2 linked regions of the Elephas maximus indicus genome follow. The protein of the gene in region 2 purifies or fractionates together with the protein of the main gene of each other region. This does not show direct contact. Links are inferred from orthologs where the notes say so. Each region holds a gene or a part of one and is shown on either strand. Other genes may lie near its edges.

The links. The genes of interacting proteins can lie anywhere in the genome.
Region 1: the proteins of POLR1C (region 2) and POLR3K purify together in Homo sapiens (affinity purification with mass spectrometry; 4 studies listed by BioGRID and IntAct, counting the BioPlex papers as one, with this or other methods). This does not show direct contact. The link is inferred for Elephas maximus indicus from reciprocal best matches to the Homo sapiens genes POLR1C and POLR3K.

What each region holds. Positions count from the first base shown.
Region 1 is NC_064830.1:57,373,834-57,381,150, forward strand, and holds the start of POLR3K (DNA-directed RNA polymerase III subunit RPC10), read right to left. Parts: upstream 3,039-7,317; 5' UTR 2,944-3,038; coding exon 2,833-2,943; intron 752-2,832; coding exon 664-751; intron 1-663. Other genes in the region: SNRNP25 (U11/U12 small nuclear ribonucleoprotein 25 kDa protein), read left to right, coding at 3,389-3,430, 3,854-3,944, 4,088-4,193, 4,681-4,755, 5,172-5,229; RHBDF1 (inactive rhomboid protein 1), read right to left, coding at 4,294-4,434, 6,356-6,685, 6,848-7,001, 7,103-7,203, 7,268-7,317. UniProt on the Homo sapiens protein: Core component of RNA polymerase III (Pol III) which synthesizes small non-coding RNAs using the four ribonucleoside triphosphates as substrates. Can mediate Pol I proofreading of the nascent RNA transcript.
Region 2 is NC_064819.1:107,947,412-107,955,036, reverse strand, and holds the start of POLR1C (DNA-directed RNA polymerases I and III subunit RPAC1), read right to left. Parts: upstream 3,035-7,625; 5' UTR 2,870-3,034; coding exon 2,801-2,869; intron 2,703-2,800; coding exon 2,631-2,702; intron 1,386-2,630; exon of another isoform or gene 1,036-1,385; coding exon 928-1,035; exon of another isoform or gene 703-927; coding exon 567-702; exon of another isoform or gene 282-566; coding exon 162-281; exon of another isoform or gene 65-161; coding exon 1-64. Other genes in the region: protein YIPF3, read left to right, coding at 3,172-3,252, 3,897-4,094, 4,291-4,397, 5,758-5,803, 5,940-6,032, 6,177-6,308, 6,516-6,629, 6,826-6,949 and 1 more. UniProt on the Homo sapiens protein: DNA-dependent RNA polymerase catalyzes the transcription of DNA into RNA using the four ribonucleoside triphosphates as substrates.

The DNA of each region.
Region 1 (7,317 bases), on a different chromosome or scaffold from region 2:
TTCAAGATGTCACTCTGAGAAACTGACAGCCCTCTAAAAAGAACATTCCCAACACTGAGCACACATTTCATCTTTCCACAGCAGATTCTGCAGATGTTAATCTTTAACCTAGCGAATTTGGATGTTCCTCTCTATAGGACAGAAAAAGGAGTGCTAACCTTGAGTTAGCACTTCCCCCTCTCCATACAGGTTAGATCTGGGGCTCTCCTCTTTCCTTCCCTGGTCACAGCTATCTCTCTCGGCAAGGAGTGATTAAACATTTAAACATTCAAACAAAAAGACCATATTTTCTCCTTATACTCTGATTTTTATTGCCACTGTGACCCCAGCTACCATCTGCTGAGTGCTTCCTGAACTCAAGCGCTGTAAAACTCACTTAATCTTTGCACAGCCCATGAGCATGTATCAGCCCCAGAGAGGCCAAGGGGCTCACCAAGGCCCCATGACAAAAAGTCACCAAGAATCTAACCCAGTCTGTATGACTCCAAGGGTTATACCAATATTATGTGTCTTACGAATAAATTTTTAAAGAAGAAAGCACACAGTATGACTTCTACTTTTAGAAGCCCCATGAGAAGTACACCGTTACAGACTCTGACATGGAGATGCAGCGGGCAGCCTTGTAATTCTCTACAGCTTTGTAATGAAAAGAGCTCCCCTCACCTGCAGTGGAGTCGACATTCTCCCAGGCAGCTGCTCCCCCAAGTACATCATCTACTTCTTTCAGCTTGGGATACTTCCGATTTGTCACCTAACAAACAAAAAGTCTTCAGACTCTCCAAGGAAGTGATTGGTACAAACCCTGGGCCACCAAACCAGAACAGTCCTCAGGTGTCTTCCCAGACTTGCTTCCTCCAACAAGCAGTGGAGGAACAGTAAATAACAACAAAGTTCCTGCTCTCACAGGCCAGGGCTGTGAATATAGAGAACCTGTGACCAGGTTGGAAACCCTGGTTGTATAGTTGTTAAGCGCTATGGCTGCTGGCTACTAACCAAGAGGTCGGCGGTTTGAACCCGCCAGGTGCTCCTTGGAAACTCTATGGCGCAGTTCTACTCTGTTCTATAGGGTCACTATGAGTCGGAATCGACTCAACGGCAGTGGGTTTGGTTTTCTGGTGAACAGGTTGCCCACCAAGAGGAGAGGGGTAGTTTGAGCAGTCACAGATCTCTGGGAGGATTACCAAAAAAAAAAAAAAACCCATTTCCGTCGAGTCAATTCCGACTCATAGCGACCCTATAGGACAGAGTGGAACTGTGCCATAGAGTTTCGAAGGAGCGCCTGGCAGGTTCAAACTGCCGACCTTTTGGTTAGCAGCTGTAGCACTTAACCACTATGCCACCAGGGTTTCCCTGGGATGATCAGAGGAAGAAAAATGGGTTAGGTGTGGCCCTCCTTCTCTCCCACCTCTCCAGGGCACATGATAATCCAATATGAGAGAAACGTATAAAATGGAAACCAAAGAATACCACTTAGCTGGGTAGCCCAGACACCCCCCACCCAGGTAGAGAGAGGTTTCAAAGCAGCTTACAGTTGGCTTCTTTTATCAGACATCCCTGAAACTTTCAGGGTTACATAAGGGTTCGCTCTTCCCGTCTTTTGGGACTCTAAACTCCCACAACACAGTTATACACTAGAGTGTATGCAAATAACAAAACTGAGGCAGCACAAACATACTCTACTTCTGAAAAGTATAGTGTTCCAGATGTATTAAACCCAATGCTGTTGCACTGATTCTCACTCACAGCAATCCTATACAACACAGTAGAACTGCCCATAGAGTTTCCCAGGGAGCAGCTGGTGGATTTGAACTGCCGACCTTTTGGTTAGCAGCCATAGCTCTTAAACACTGCACGACCAGGGCTCCTCAAGATGTATTATCAATGGAAAAATACTAAAATATTGTCCACTTATAATACAGTATACCCAAAACCAAACCCATTGCCACAGAATCAATTCCAACTCAGAGAGACCCTCTAGGACAGAGAACTGCCCCATAGGATTTCCAAGGCTGTAAATCTTTTCGGAAATAGACTGCGACATCTTTCTCTCCGAGAGGCAGCTGGTGGGTTTAAACCGCCAACGTTTGGGTTAGCAGCCTAGCGCCTAACCACTGTGCCACCAGGGCTCCTATAGTACAGTATGCAGCCTTCTTTTACTAAACACCCATTCTAATGCAGGTTCCATTCCAGGCATTCAGACTAGGATACAGAAAGGGACAGAACAGAGAAAAACTCCCTGCACTCCTGCAGCTTATGTTTTAGTATTAATAAACAAAGCACATGAGTAAATTATAAAGTATATTAGAAGGTACGTGTCCCATGGAAAAAATAAAACCGGGTAGGAGAATAAAATTGAGAGGGCTGTAACTTTAGTGTAATCATTTAAGTAAAGACGGGACCACCAAGTCACGTGGATCCAGAGCAAAAGTGCGCCCAGCTGAAGAACCTATGCAAAGGCCCTGCAGGTAGCAGCGCCGGAGCATGACGGGAGATACCGCAGTGGCCGGTGCTGTTAGGGAAAAAGAGCGAGAGGGAGAAGGACGTGAGGAGGCGAAATCCGAGAAGCAGGCGGGCGGGGTCAGGGCTAGAGCCTGGGGGTGCCCTGTAAGAACTGCTTTTACTCCCAGCCGGCCGGGAACCACTGGAGGTTTCTGAGCACGGACTGCTGGGACTTGACTCGGCTCAGTGAAGAGCACACTGCGCAGGGAGCCTAGCCAGCATTTTTCTGCGATAACCCCGGGACTGTTCTACGGGATTAGAGGCTGGCTCCGATCGTCTCAAAGGCAGAGCCGACATGGGCATGAGCGGATAGCGGGTGAGGGTGGGACCCACCTTGCGGGTGATGTTGTGCACGTAAGGGCAGGTATTGCAAGCGAAGCGGTGGCAGCGCTGCCCCTCCTCCACAATCAGCCCGTTTCCGCAGCCCGGGCAGAAAAGCAGCATAGCCGGCGAATCAGCCCGATTCCGCCAGCCCCTGCAGCATCCTGATTCCCGGCAACCTCCGCGTCCGCTGGGCGCCGGCGCTCGCCCGGCCTCGAGCTCTCATTGGCCCAGGCAAGGCACTCCTCAGGCCACCAATAGGCACGCTGGCCTCGCGCTCCCAGCGTGCCCAGCAGCAGACGGTCTTGCACTTCTCATTGGTCAAGGTGGCCCGCCCCGCCCCCAAGCGCACCAATGGCTGTCCAGGCTTGCTCTGCGGTCCACAGTCCTTTTGTGCACGCAATTCGTCTTCCTCTCGCCGACTGGCCGGGGCGAGAGACCCACGGCGGACGCAGCCCTGGAGGGGGCTGAGGCTGAGGCGCGTCCCGAGGCGTCGGAGGTCGACGAGGACGACGACGAGGCGCTCCCGCACTCGGAGGTGGTGGACGTGTTCCAGGAGGGTCTCGCCATGGTGGTGCAGGACCCCCTGCTCTGCGATCTGCCGATCCAGGTGCGCAGCCGGGGTCTTTCCCAGCGAGGCCGGGGCAGGAGCGGCGGGGAGCGGACCCCGAGGTCGTGTGGATATTGCAGCCCCTGAGCTGGAGGAAGCACAGGGCTGGTCCTCGGAGGGCGCATTTTCCTGCCTATTTCTGTTGTTGTTAGGTGCCGTCGAGTCGGTTCCGACTCATAGCGACCCTGTTTCTGTGCCCTTCTTTTACTGGAGCCTCTGTCCACTTTGATCCTTAAACTTGAAAAGTATGGGTGAAATTCGAGATCGGGGTGCTGAAGAACTGCGAGCCCTAATATAAGCAAGGATCCTTTCCTCTACTTGCTTGTCGTAAAATATGGACACCCCTTTTTGGCCTCTGTCAACTTGTTTTGTTCATTGTCATTTGGGATGATGAGAAGAGCACCCCACTTTTGTCTTTTCCAGGTTACTTTGGAAGAGGTCAACTCCCAGATAGCACTGGAGTATGGCCAGGCCATGACTGTCTGTGTGTGCAAGATGGACGGAGAGGTCATGCGTAAGTGATGCCCTCCTCCCTGCCACTGTGCTTTCTCAGGGCTGCCAGAGACATCAAGGCCACCACGAACCTGCCCTGCCCCGAGGTTGGCCTGTGGTACCCACTGACCTGAGGTCTTCTCCCATTTGTATCCCTGGCTGCAGCTGTGGTCGTCGTGCAGAACGCCACAGTCCTGGACCTGAAGAAGGCCATCCAAAGATATGTGCAGCTGCGGCAGGAGCGTGAAGGGGGTATTCAGCACATCAGCTGGTGAGTGGAGCAATTCCCAAGCCAGCATGCACACGTGCTGGACCTGTGCTCTCTGGTCCTCTGCCATGACTGAGGGGTGAGTGCCCTGTCTCGAGCTCTTTCAGGCAGAGACAGGTCTTCCATGGATTCCTGCCACTGCCTCCTTTCTAAACATGCTCATCTGTGTTGTCCCGCCTCCGCTGCTTGACTCTTCACTTGGGGGCACCTTTAGGCATTTCCAGTGTGACATGAAATGGTCTCCCTGGTTACAGACAGCACTGCTCGGTCAGGGCCCACCCCTCCCTCCCTCCCTCCCTCTCTCCCTCCCTCCCTCCCTCTCTCTCTCTCTCTCTCTCTCTCTCCCCTACTCTGCACCAGTGCATTTCTGCCAAGGGTGTTCGACCCCTATGCAGCCCTTTGGGACCAGTGCCCCTTGTAGCTCCTTCAGGCCTGGTGTGCACATCATGCAGGAAGAGAACTCCTTGTTTCCTGAGTCTCCCTCTTGCAGGTCCTACGTGTGGAGGACCTATTATCTGACCTTTGTGGGAGAAAAGCTCACAGAAGACAGGAAGAAGCTCCGAGAGTAAGTCCTGGCCACATCTTGAGCTGCTGAGGGGTGTCTGGTCCTTGTCTGCCTCTAGTCCCTGTACTCTCGTAAAGGAAGGGGCTTCCCAAAAACACCTATGTGCCGGATCTCAGCCATCCCCACTAAAAGGGCAGGCAGAGGAGTTGGCTACAGCAGTCCTGGCTGGCTCTCACCACTGTGAGAACATCAGGGTCCTGTGGATGTGCACAGGTCAGATGGAGGGAAATGTAAGCATGTAGAGGGGAAGGGCCACCCACTGAACAGCATGAGCCGCTTCCTCGCTCTGCCTCCTTCTCCCTGGCACCACCCCCTCTTCTCCCCTTTCTTTCCCTTCTTTTTCACAGGCCCCAGGTAGGAGTCACTGGTGTATCTTTCTGCCCATCAGACACATCCGACCTTTCTTTCTCTTTCAGTTACGGCATCCGGAATCGGGATGAGGTCTCCTTTATCAAAAAGCTGAGACAAAAGTGAGCCTCCAGCAAGGACAGAGGTGTGGGGGACAAACTCTTCTCCTCAGGACATTACCCTTGGCCACTGTCTCCTTCACAGAAAGGCAGGTTGCAGCCTCACCCCAGTTGTGCTCTGCCTCCTCCTTCCTCCCCCATCTGGAACCAACAATGTGAGCTCCATGACTGTCAGGTCCTCATTTCTCTTCCATTTACTTGATCTGAAGCCCTCCTGAGGCCCAAACCTGACTACATGTGGATCCCACAGGACAGCCTCATATACAAAATAAATGTTTGCTTTTTAGTTTGAAAGTCAAAAAGCCAGAGTACCCCCGCCAGGAGGTACAAATGCTGCCCCATAGGGAGGTGGAGAAAGGGAGCAGGGTTGGAACACATGGGCCCTGAGGTCCAGGGTGACCACCTGTGCCCTGTGGCTGCATGGTTCCCCAGATGGCAAACTGCTCATGCCGTGATCTGTACAGCAAGGGGGACAAGCAGAGCAGCTGTCTTTGTTTCTGTTTGTGGGACCAGGGTAGAATGTGTGTAACACAGATATGGGCTGGACCAGAGGCCCCTTGGGGCTCACTGGGTGAAAAGGAGGGAGCATGGGACTGAAACTACAGCTGTTGGCTGGACCAAGCATGGGGGCTCTCCAGCAGGGCTGAGGGCAAGGGCATCATTGGGGCACCCCACCCCACCATCACCTACCAGTCACCAAAGGAAGGGCACCGTGCATCCACCCGGCTGAAGGACCTCCCTCCACAGCCACACGATCGGATCCCAGAAGGAGGAGGCAGCTAGGATTAAGGTAACGGCAGCTAAAACGCTCCCATTCGTTTACTGGCCGCGTGAGGTGGTTGTCAAAAGAGACTAGTTAGAAGGTGATTATGGGCATTAGTGTAACAAACATGGTGACATGAGAGGTTCAACAGAAGTGAACAAGGCACAGAGGTCTGTGTTCAGAAACATGATCTGGCCAGCCAGCAAGGGCAGAGGCAGGCTTGGCACCGGGCTCCAGGCCTGCTGGAGCATGGCTGCAGCCCCCACCCCTCGGGCCTAGCTCAGTGCAGCTGCGTATCTAGCTCGTACTTCTCACAGAACTTGTCAGTGAAGGGGATACAGGTGAGGAACTCACACCACTCACAACGTACAGGGTAGAAGTAGAAGAGGACCACCAGGCTGCCGAGCAACCCCAGGAACACGGCCTGGAAGATGATGATCTGGCAGCGCTTGCGGTACAGGTCAAACTTGCCAAAGCTGATGTATGGCAGGAAGGCAAAGGAGAGGAAGAGGCCACTGACAAAGCCAGAGATGTGGGCAAAGTTGTCGATCCAAGGCAGCAGCCCAAAGGTGAAGAGGAAGAGTACCACAGCCAGCAGCTTGAAGAAAGCACGCCACGGACTCGCCAGGATCTGCCAGCTCTGGAACAGCTCCACAAAGAGGCAGGCCAGAATGCCAAACTGCGACCCAGCCGGGCCCACCTGTGGGGGTTCGAGGCACCGGAGCTGACCCAGGTCTCACTTCCTCTTGCCCCACCTCCCTGGCCTGGAACCAATCAGAACCAAGGGCCAAACAGAGGGACCTGATCCAGTGCTGGACGTGGACAGATGTGCATGAGTGTACCCACCCGAGGGACACCTCACCTCTGCACGGTAAGGCAAGAAGATGGCACTGGCCAGGTTGCCAGTGATGCCACTCAGCAGGTAGATGATGGAGATGCGGTGCCAACCGGCAAGCTTCTCCAAGTCCCGCAGGATGGTCATCTGGAAGCAGACGGACACCAGGCAGTGCAGGATCCTGAGGTGGGGGAGGGGAGGGGATACTCAGGACGGTGGGAGCCTGCCATCCCAGCCTGGCCACTCCCCAGCACACCCCACCATGCCCAGTGTGTCACTTGCCCTGCGTGCAAGAAGAGGGACAACCACAGGCGGTAGAACTGGTCGGGCACCTCAGGGTTGAGGAAGGGCAGGAGCCCGCACACATCATCCATGCAGTGCACCTGCACAGAGTGGCCATTAGCACCCACGGTGGCGGGGGGGATCACCCTCTGCCCCAAGACCTACCTGAGAGCAAAGTGTGGCCTCCTCGTGAAAGTAGCCCCTCATGAAGTCAC
Region 2 (7,625 bases):
GTGCCCTCTGGGAAGACATCAGCCTGGTTCCCCAGGGGCACCCATGTCATGTGCCTGGTGTACACTAGAGAATGAAGCATGTCAGAAGACTTCAGCCCCTAAAGCCATACTCCTCGTACCCGCAACAGGCAGGCTCTCTTCCGCACATTACCACCGCTCACCTTTGTGGTTCACATAGAGTTCACTGGGATCAGAGGAATCTTTAGAAGCGTGGGGGTTCCGAGTGCACCTGACTTGTAGCCGAAACTGCAGAGTGTCTATCTCTGTGCCTTCTTCATCTTCTGCGTAAATGCAAGAGAAAGAGATTAACTCTTAGAAAACTAGTGACCATTTGAGTGTCAGGCACTATGCTGAGGGCTTTACATACACTTTTCATTTAATCCTCTCGACAAACTCATGAAACAGGTATTATCTTCATTTCACAGGTGGAAAACACTGATGTACTAAAAGATTAACTTTTCCAAGATCAAATGCAGGTTTTGAACTCAGGCAGTCTGACTCCAGAATCTTACTTTAGAGGAAAGCTGCCCTCCTTTTCCCAAAATTTTATTTTCCCAAACCCTTACCTTGATTCCGATACTCAAAAAGACGAGGATCTGCATGAATGGGAATGAGTCCCAGCCGGTGAGCAAGGATCTCATCCTGGACTATGGATGTGTTGTTGTACACCAGAACCTTTTCCACAGCCATGGTTGGCACCTGCTCAAGGAAACAATCACCAATCACCCATCTGCAAAGACCCAGTAGGCTCTTCACTCCCACCCTGTGACAGGGAGAGCTCTTCCTAGAAAAATGCTTGATAAAGAGATAAGAAGAATGACCAGAAGGAATGCTCAGCAAATTTGCAGGAAAAACAAGGGTGGGAGGGTCACTTTGAGATCCTCAGCAAGCTTCCCCATACAACCTTGCCGCTACATCCATTGATACCTCAGCTAATAGAATGCGTCGAAAAGCATTGGCGATGGCTGCATCAATTCCCACCATGTCGAACTCCAATGAGTTTTCATCCATGTGTACCACATCCACACGGAAATTCTGGAGGGACAGGAAAAAACACTGAGGCCTGGTCTCTATGCTCCCCCCTCCCTAGATATTTCCCTTAATGTTTTTTTTAACATCCTCTAAAATCCAAAAACCTCCTCCATGCCCAGATGTCCCTTTCTCCCCCAATCCTTTCATAGTTGAAAAGTTTCTCTGTTTTTGTCTTCCGTTCATTCAAAACCTCTGTAATCTGCCTCCAGCCAAACCATCTCACGGAGGCCGTTCTATTAAAGAACAGAAGCTTCCATATTACTTAGGGCAAGTAATACTACTCAGTCCTTACCTTGCTGGAATCCTCTACTACATGTGGAATTTTTTAATAAAATCCTTCCTTTTTAAAATTCTACTAGTCCCTTGGTTTCTGAGCACCAATCTTCTAGTTATCTTACGATTTTTTCTAAATTCACTATTTTTCCACCCATCCCCTAAATATTACTACTTCCCAAGTTCCTGTCTCTCACTTGGGTGACCTCAACCACACAATTTTAGCAACTCATCTGTACACTCACAACTCCAAAAATTATGTATCATTTCTGATCTCATTTCAAACATGTTCTACTAGCCTGCTAGACTGCTCTGCCTGCAGAAAATTGAATACATCGTCATTCCTCTTCCTCAGATCTATTCCTCCTTATCAAACAATAACATCACCATCCATCAAAGTTCCCTAAGCCAGGTTATTTTACACTTGGTCCTCACAAACAAAAAAACACCAAACCCACTGCTGTCATGAGTCAATTCCGACTCACAGCAACCCTATAGGACAGAGTAGAACTGCCCCATAGAGTATCCAAGGAGCGCCTGGTGGATTCGAACTGTTAGCAGCCCCAGCACTTAACCACTACACTACCAGGGTTCCCTTGCCCCTCACAGCCCACATCAAATCAATCACCACTTTGACCCTCTATTCCCCTCTTTGTTCAATTTCTGCAATCATAATCTTAGTTCATTCTCTCCCAGCCATCAGGGTTATGAATCTTACCAAGTCTGCTTAAAAACTCTTCAAAAGTTACCTGTCACCTACAGTGCCTACAACGAATTCCAATCTTGCCTACCACTCCTGCTGGTCCATTTTACATTCTAGCAATACTGAACTGTTTGAACATTCCAGGAGTACACCTCACGCCTTTATAATTTAGTTCATATTCTTAGTTCCTTCACACTTAGCTGTTCACAACTTGTTCAAGGCCCAATTTAGATGTTATCTCCTTCAGGAAATTTTCCTAACCCTCCCCCCGCCCCCATGCACACCCTGTGTCTATATTGCTATCAACCGCCTTACAAAGTTAGACAGGAATCATTTGTTTACGCGAAATGATTCCCCAACAAGAATCACAGAACAGGGCAGAAACTGTGTCTAATTCGGCCTACTACACGCAAGCGCCTAGCACATCGCTGGGATGGGAACGGGGCTCAATAAACGTCTGATGAATAAAGGTAGCCTTAAGGGCAGCTTCTGAGGCACAGGCTGTTCAGATCACAAGGTCCGGCCACACACACCCTCTCCAGACACCTCCGTCCGTACCCACCTTACCCTACCCTAATCGCTTCCCCTCCCAGTACTTCCAATCCTCCAACTCCTCCTTCACCTTCTCGAAGCGCTCCTGGTCCCAGGCATCGTCATAACCGGAATAGTTACCGGGGAAGTCGGTGGTATGAACCTAAAGAGCAAGAGAGACGAGTCTGTCGCCACTCCGACTCCAACTCATTCCTGTTTCGCTCTCCTTCTCTCTCCGGAGTTCAAGACCACAAGACTTACATTGCGAACCCCGAACTCCCCAAGAACCACGCGGTCCCGCATTTCTTCCACTGCCTGGGCCGCCGCCATCTTCAACCGACCCACGTGGCTAGAGCGTCAAACTGGCGAGCGCGAGCTAGTCCTACCGTCTCCTCGGCAACGAACGCTCGCCTGGAGGCTTAAGTATCGCGAGGGTTTGCCCCGCCTCCTCCCACGTCCCAAACTTCCGGAAGTCAGTTTGAGCCAAACATCCGGGTTTTTCGTTTTTGGGTTCCGGCTGATTCCATCTCTCCTTCTTGCCCGTGGACATCTCCCTCCCTCAGGCCCACGTCTCGCCCACTTCTCCGCGCGCGGGGTAGCGCGGGCTTCAGCGACGGGAGCCCTCGAGGGACATGGCAGCTGCGGCGGCGCCGGCCGGCGGCGCCCGAAACGGGGCTGGCCCGGAGTGGGGAGGATTTGAAGAAAACATCCAGGTAATGGCCCCAAGGCTCCGGCTGCCCCCAAGGCTGGCGACCGTCCTGAAGTGTCTTGGGAACTTTCTCGGGGCCTAGAAGTCCGTCCCTAACCTCCGTACCGTCTGCTCTAGTTGCAACAGTTCTTCACTGTTTTGGGTCTCAGTGCAAACCAAGTCGGTGGGGTTAGTGCTGACCTGAAAGGCCAGATACTCCGGCTGGAGGGCCACAGGTCTCTGGGCCTTCCCGAGGCGTTAGAAAGAGCGTGCTTTTGCTTTAGGGGCAAGTTGGGAGGTTGGCCGGGGTCAGGCATGACGGGGGAAGGGGTAATAACTGGCACTGGCTGAAAACACTGTGCACAGACATGCCTTCGCCTTGTGAAAGACAAAGGAAATGGGTGCTTTTGCTGCCCTTTGATAGTTTGATAGGGAAGATAGGAGAAATACATGAGTGGAAGACAGGTTTCCCAGGCTCGAAAAGAGGGCAAAAGCCAGGATCCAAAGGTTCTGAGAGCAGATGAGTGGGAAGAGATTGGCAGGATCTTTGGTGATTCCCACCCATACCCCAGCAGTGGAAGAACAAAACTCAAACCCTAGGGTGAGCAGAGGAGTACTTAACCGACGGATCAGAAAATTCCAGCACTCCAGGAGCCATTGTTTTCACAGGGTGGGGGCTCAGCTGTGATTGACATGGAGAACATGGATGATACCTCAGGTTCCAGCTTTGAGGATATGGGTGAGCTGCATCAGCGCCTGCGTGAGGAAGAAGTAGACGCTGATGCAGCTGCTGCTGAAGAAGAGGATGGGGAGTTCCTGGGCATGAAGGGCTTTAAGGGACAGCTGAGCAGGCAGGTGGCTGATCAGGTAAGCAAGGCTGGATCCCTGGCATGGGGAAAAGTATATCTAGGCAGGTCCCAGGTTCTGGAGTTGGTGTTGGTGAAGCTCACTCCAAGTTATCCAGTTAGAACCATGTAGAAATCCAACAGAAAAATAGGGAACAGTCCCCAGAGCCAAGAGGCTCACAATACCCAACCTCCCACCCCCATCTTCCTTGCTTCAGATGTGGCAGGCGGGAAAGAGACAAGCCTCCAGGGCCTTCAGCTTGTACGCCAACATTGACATCTTAAGACCCTACTTTGATGTGGAGCCTGCCCAGGTGCGAAGCAGGTGAGGATCCTTCTCCTGACAGAAACTGCCCTCCTAACACCTAGTCCTTCATCCAGCCAACAACCAGATATCAAGCCCTCAGGACCCCCGCTCTTCATGACCCCACCACCCCTCATCGCACCTTGTACCCCAGACACACCATAACTCTCACCACCCACTGAACACGACATGGCGCTAAACACATTGGCTTCCTTCACTTCTCCATGAGCAGATTCATTTTCCCTCAAAACCTAACTCAAATGTCACTTCTTTGTTCACCATTCCTCATTTCCATCCCCCATTTGTCCTCTCCCAATGTTCCTATAAAAAAAAAAAATTATAGAACTCTGTTTTTCTCTAGTAGATAACACTTCAGCACTGCTGTACTTTCTCATTCCTGGGTCTGTCTCCGCAGACCAACAGCTCTTTGAGAGCAGACTCTTGTTTATCTTTTTTTCCCGGCACCAGAACAGCCTGAACCAGAGTGTCAGTGCATAGTTGCTGAATGACTGTTCAAGAAACAGATTTAATCTTGGCTTGGTTCTTTGTTCCTTAGTTTAACTAATGTTTGTCAAAAAATAGTACCACTTAAATATTTATTGATCATACTTCTTTATTAAGTACAGTACTATTCTTGTTGTGTCTGATTCAGTGGTGAAGACAGATGGGAGCCTTGCCCTGGTGTGCAGTTACAAGACAGCACTCTTATGCTATGGTGGAGACACACAGGAAGAACTCCTGACCCAGGGTGGGCTGGGGAATGGGACAGGCCAGGTATCCCAGAGGAGGTAAAATTTAGCCAAAATCAAAGGTATTATTAGGAGCTGGTCACTTAAGAAGAAAGCGGGGACATGACTTGTACTTTTATTTTTTCTGTCTGGAATTTTCATAGCACTTCAGATAGATTTTTCAAGAAAATACCCAGTGGTGCCTAGAGGAATGGTAAGCAGGAAGAGGCAGGGGGCACTGTTTCCCTTAGGGACACCTTCTGAATCTTGCCCAGGGCCTCACCATCACAACCCTGAATGCTGGGTATTATGCTCTGCTGAGGTTTGCTTGTTTTTTAAAGAGGAGCAGGTCAAATAGGTTCATCGTCAGGTCTTCCCCCAGGACCCAGCTAGAGTCTCTGAATTCTGTATTGGTGCTGCTTCAGTCAGCACAGTGTCAGAGGAATGTTCTCCCTGGAAGTATTTCTAGGGGGAAGGAAGTCATTTCCCCATCCCCTGTCTCTTTACTGCCCTGTTCTCCCTGAATCATCTAGCATGTCCCCTGGGCGAGTTTCCTTTACCCTGGGATTAGAGAGATGAGTAAGACTCATGCCTTGACCTCCAAAACCTCACAGCTTAGTGCTACCTCTGCTCTTATCTCTCCTCTCTCTCAGGCTCCTGGAGTCCATGATCCCTATCAAGATGGTCAACTTCCCACAGGTGAATAGTGGGTGGCATGTCTGGAGAGCGAGGGGAGGCACCAGGGCAGAGGGTGGGGCCACCAGGCAAAGCCTGGGGAGGCATGAACAGAAAAGCCATGGTACCCTTCATGCTGAATGAGTTGGTATATTGACAGAAAATTGCAGGTGAGCTGTATGGACCTCTCATGCTGGTCTTCACGCTGGTTGCCATCCTCCTCCATGGGATGAAGACATCTGACACCATTATCGTAAGCAAAACAGAGGACATTGGGGGGTGGCTTAACTGGGTTGGAAGCTGCCCAAGGAGAGGATGGTAAAGTGAAGTGAAGGAGCAGTCCTTGAGGAAGGCCCTCAGAGGCCTTTCAGGGCTAAGCAGAGCCTTCGCCCCACAGCGGGAGGGCACCCTGATGGGCACAGCCATTGGTACCTGCTTCGGCTACTGGCTGGGCGTGTCGTCCTTCATTTACTTCCTCGCCTACCTGTGCAATGCTCAGATCACCATGCTCCAGATGCTGGCACTGCTGGTAAGGAGCCAGGCATGGTGGTGGGCAAGGGTAATCTTAAGAGAGTAGTCAGGCCTTGGTCTGCATGTGTCCTGGTTCCACAGGACCCCACCCAGGGCCTGGAATGGGAAGAACTGGCCACTGGACCCTTTATTACCCAGGGTCCCCATGAAGGCCAGAGACCAGCCCAGCCTGAGTGATTTTCCTTTCCACCATCCTCCTTCCTAGGGCTATGGCCTCTTTGGGCACTGTATTGTCCTATTCATCACCTACAACATCCACCTTCATGCCCTCTTCTACCTATTCTGGCTGCTGGTGGGTGGGCTGTCCACCCTGCGCATGGTAAGCTGGGAATGGGGTTTTCAGGAGTGGGCTGTTCTCTCAGGGATTTGGGAAGAACAGCCTAGAGCTGAGGTAGAACCCCATGAAGGGTTCTGAATGGGCTGGAAAAGTCCAAGATGGTTCTGCCTTGGGTAGGGTGTCTTCTCCCCATCCCTCGCTGGATCCAGGCCTCTGAGCTGTCTTCCTGTGGGCCTAGGTGGCAGTGTTGGTGTCACGGACTGTGGGCCCCACGCAGCGACTACTCCTTTGTGGCACCCTGGCTGCCCTGCACATGCTCTTCCTGCTCTATCTGCATTTTGCCTACCACAAGGTGGTAGAGGGTAAGTGACGGGAGGGCCAGGGTAGGGGTGGCTGTGGGTGCAAACAGCTGCCAGGGTTGGGGGGCTGGATGAGATAGCCTGTGGGCTGGTCCCAGCCAACTCCTGCTTATCTTCCATCACCCTTCTTTCAGGGATTCTGGACACACTGGAGGGCCCCAACATCCCGCCCATGCAGAGAGTCCCCAGAGACATCCCTGTTGTGCTCCCTGCTGCTAGACTTCCTGCCGCCATGCTCAACGCCACAGCCAAGGCTGTTGCGGTGACCCTGCAGTCACACTGACCTCACCTGAAATCCCTGGCCGGGCCCCTTCCCCCTGGCTGCAGAGCAGAGGAAGATTAAAGGACAATACTGATGGCATGTGTCTCTTTGATGGGGTCTCCAGCTGCCACAGAGCTGTAGCTGCTTAAGCACCTCCTTGCTGCCTGCCAGGGCTTGTGATAGGGCACAAGGCTGGGAACTCCTGGCCAGGACTGCAGGCTCTGCAGCCAGTGCAGAAAGTGGGTCAGCTCCTCTGAGGCCCCTCACCACCTACCCCTTCCTTCCGTTTTCTTTCTCCCACATTGTCTTGCTAAATATAGACTTGGTAATTAAAATACTGATTGAAGTCTGGAACTGCAGCTACCCTTCCAGTGGTCCTGCTTGCCACTCTACTTTCTGTACACACACTTGTGCTGT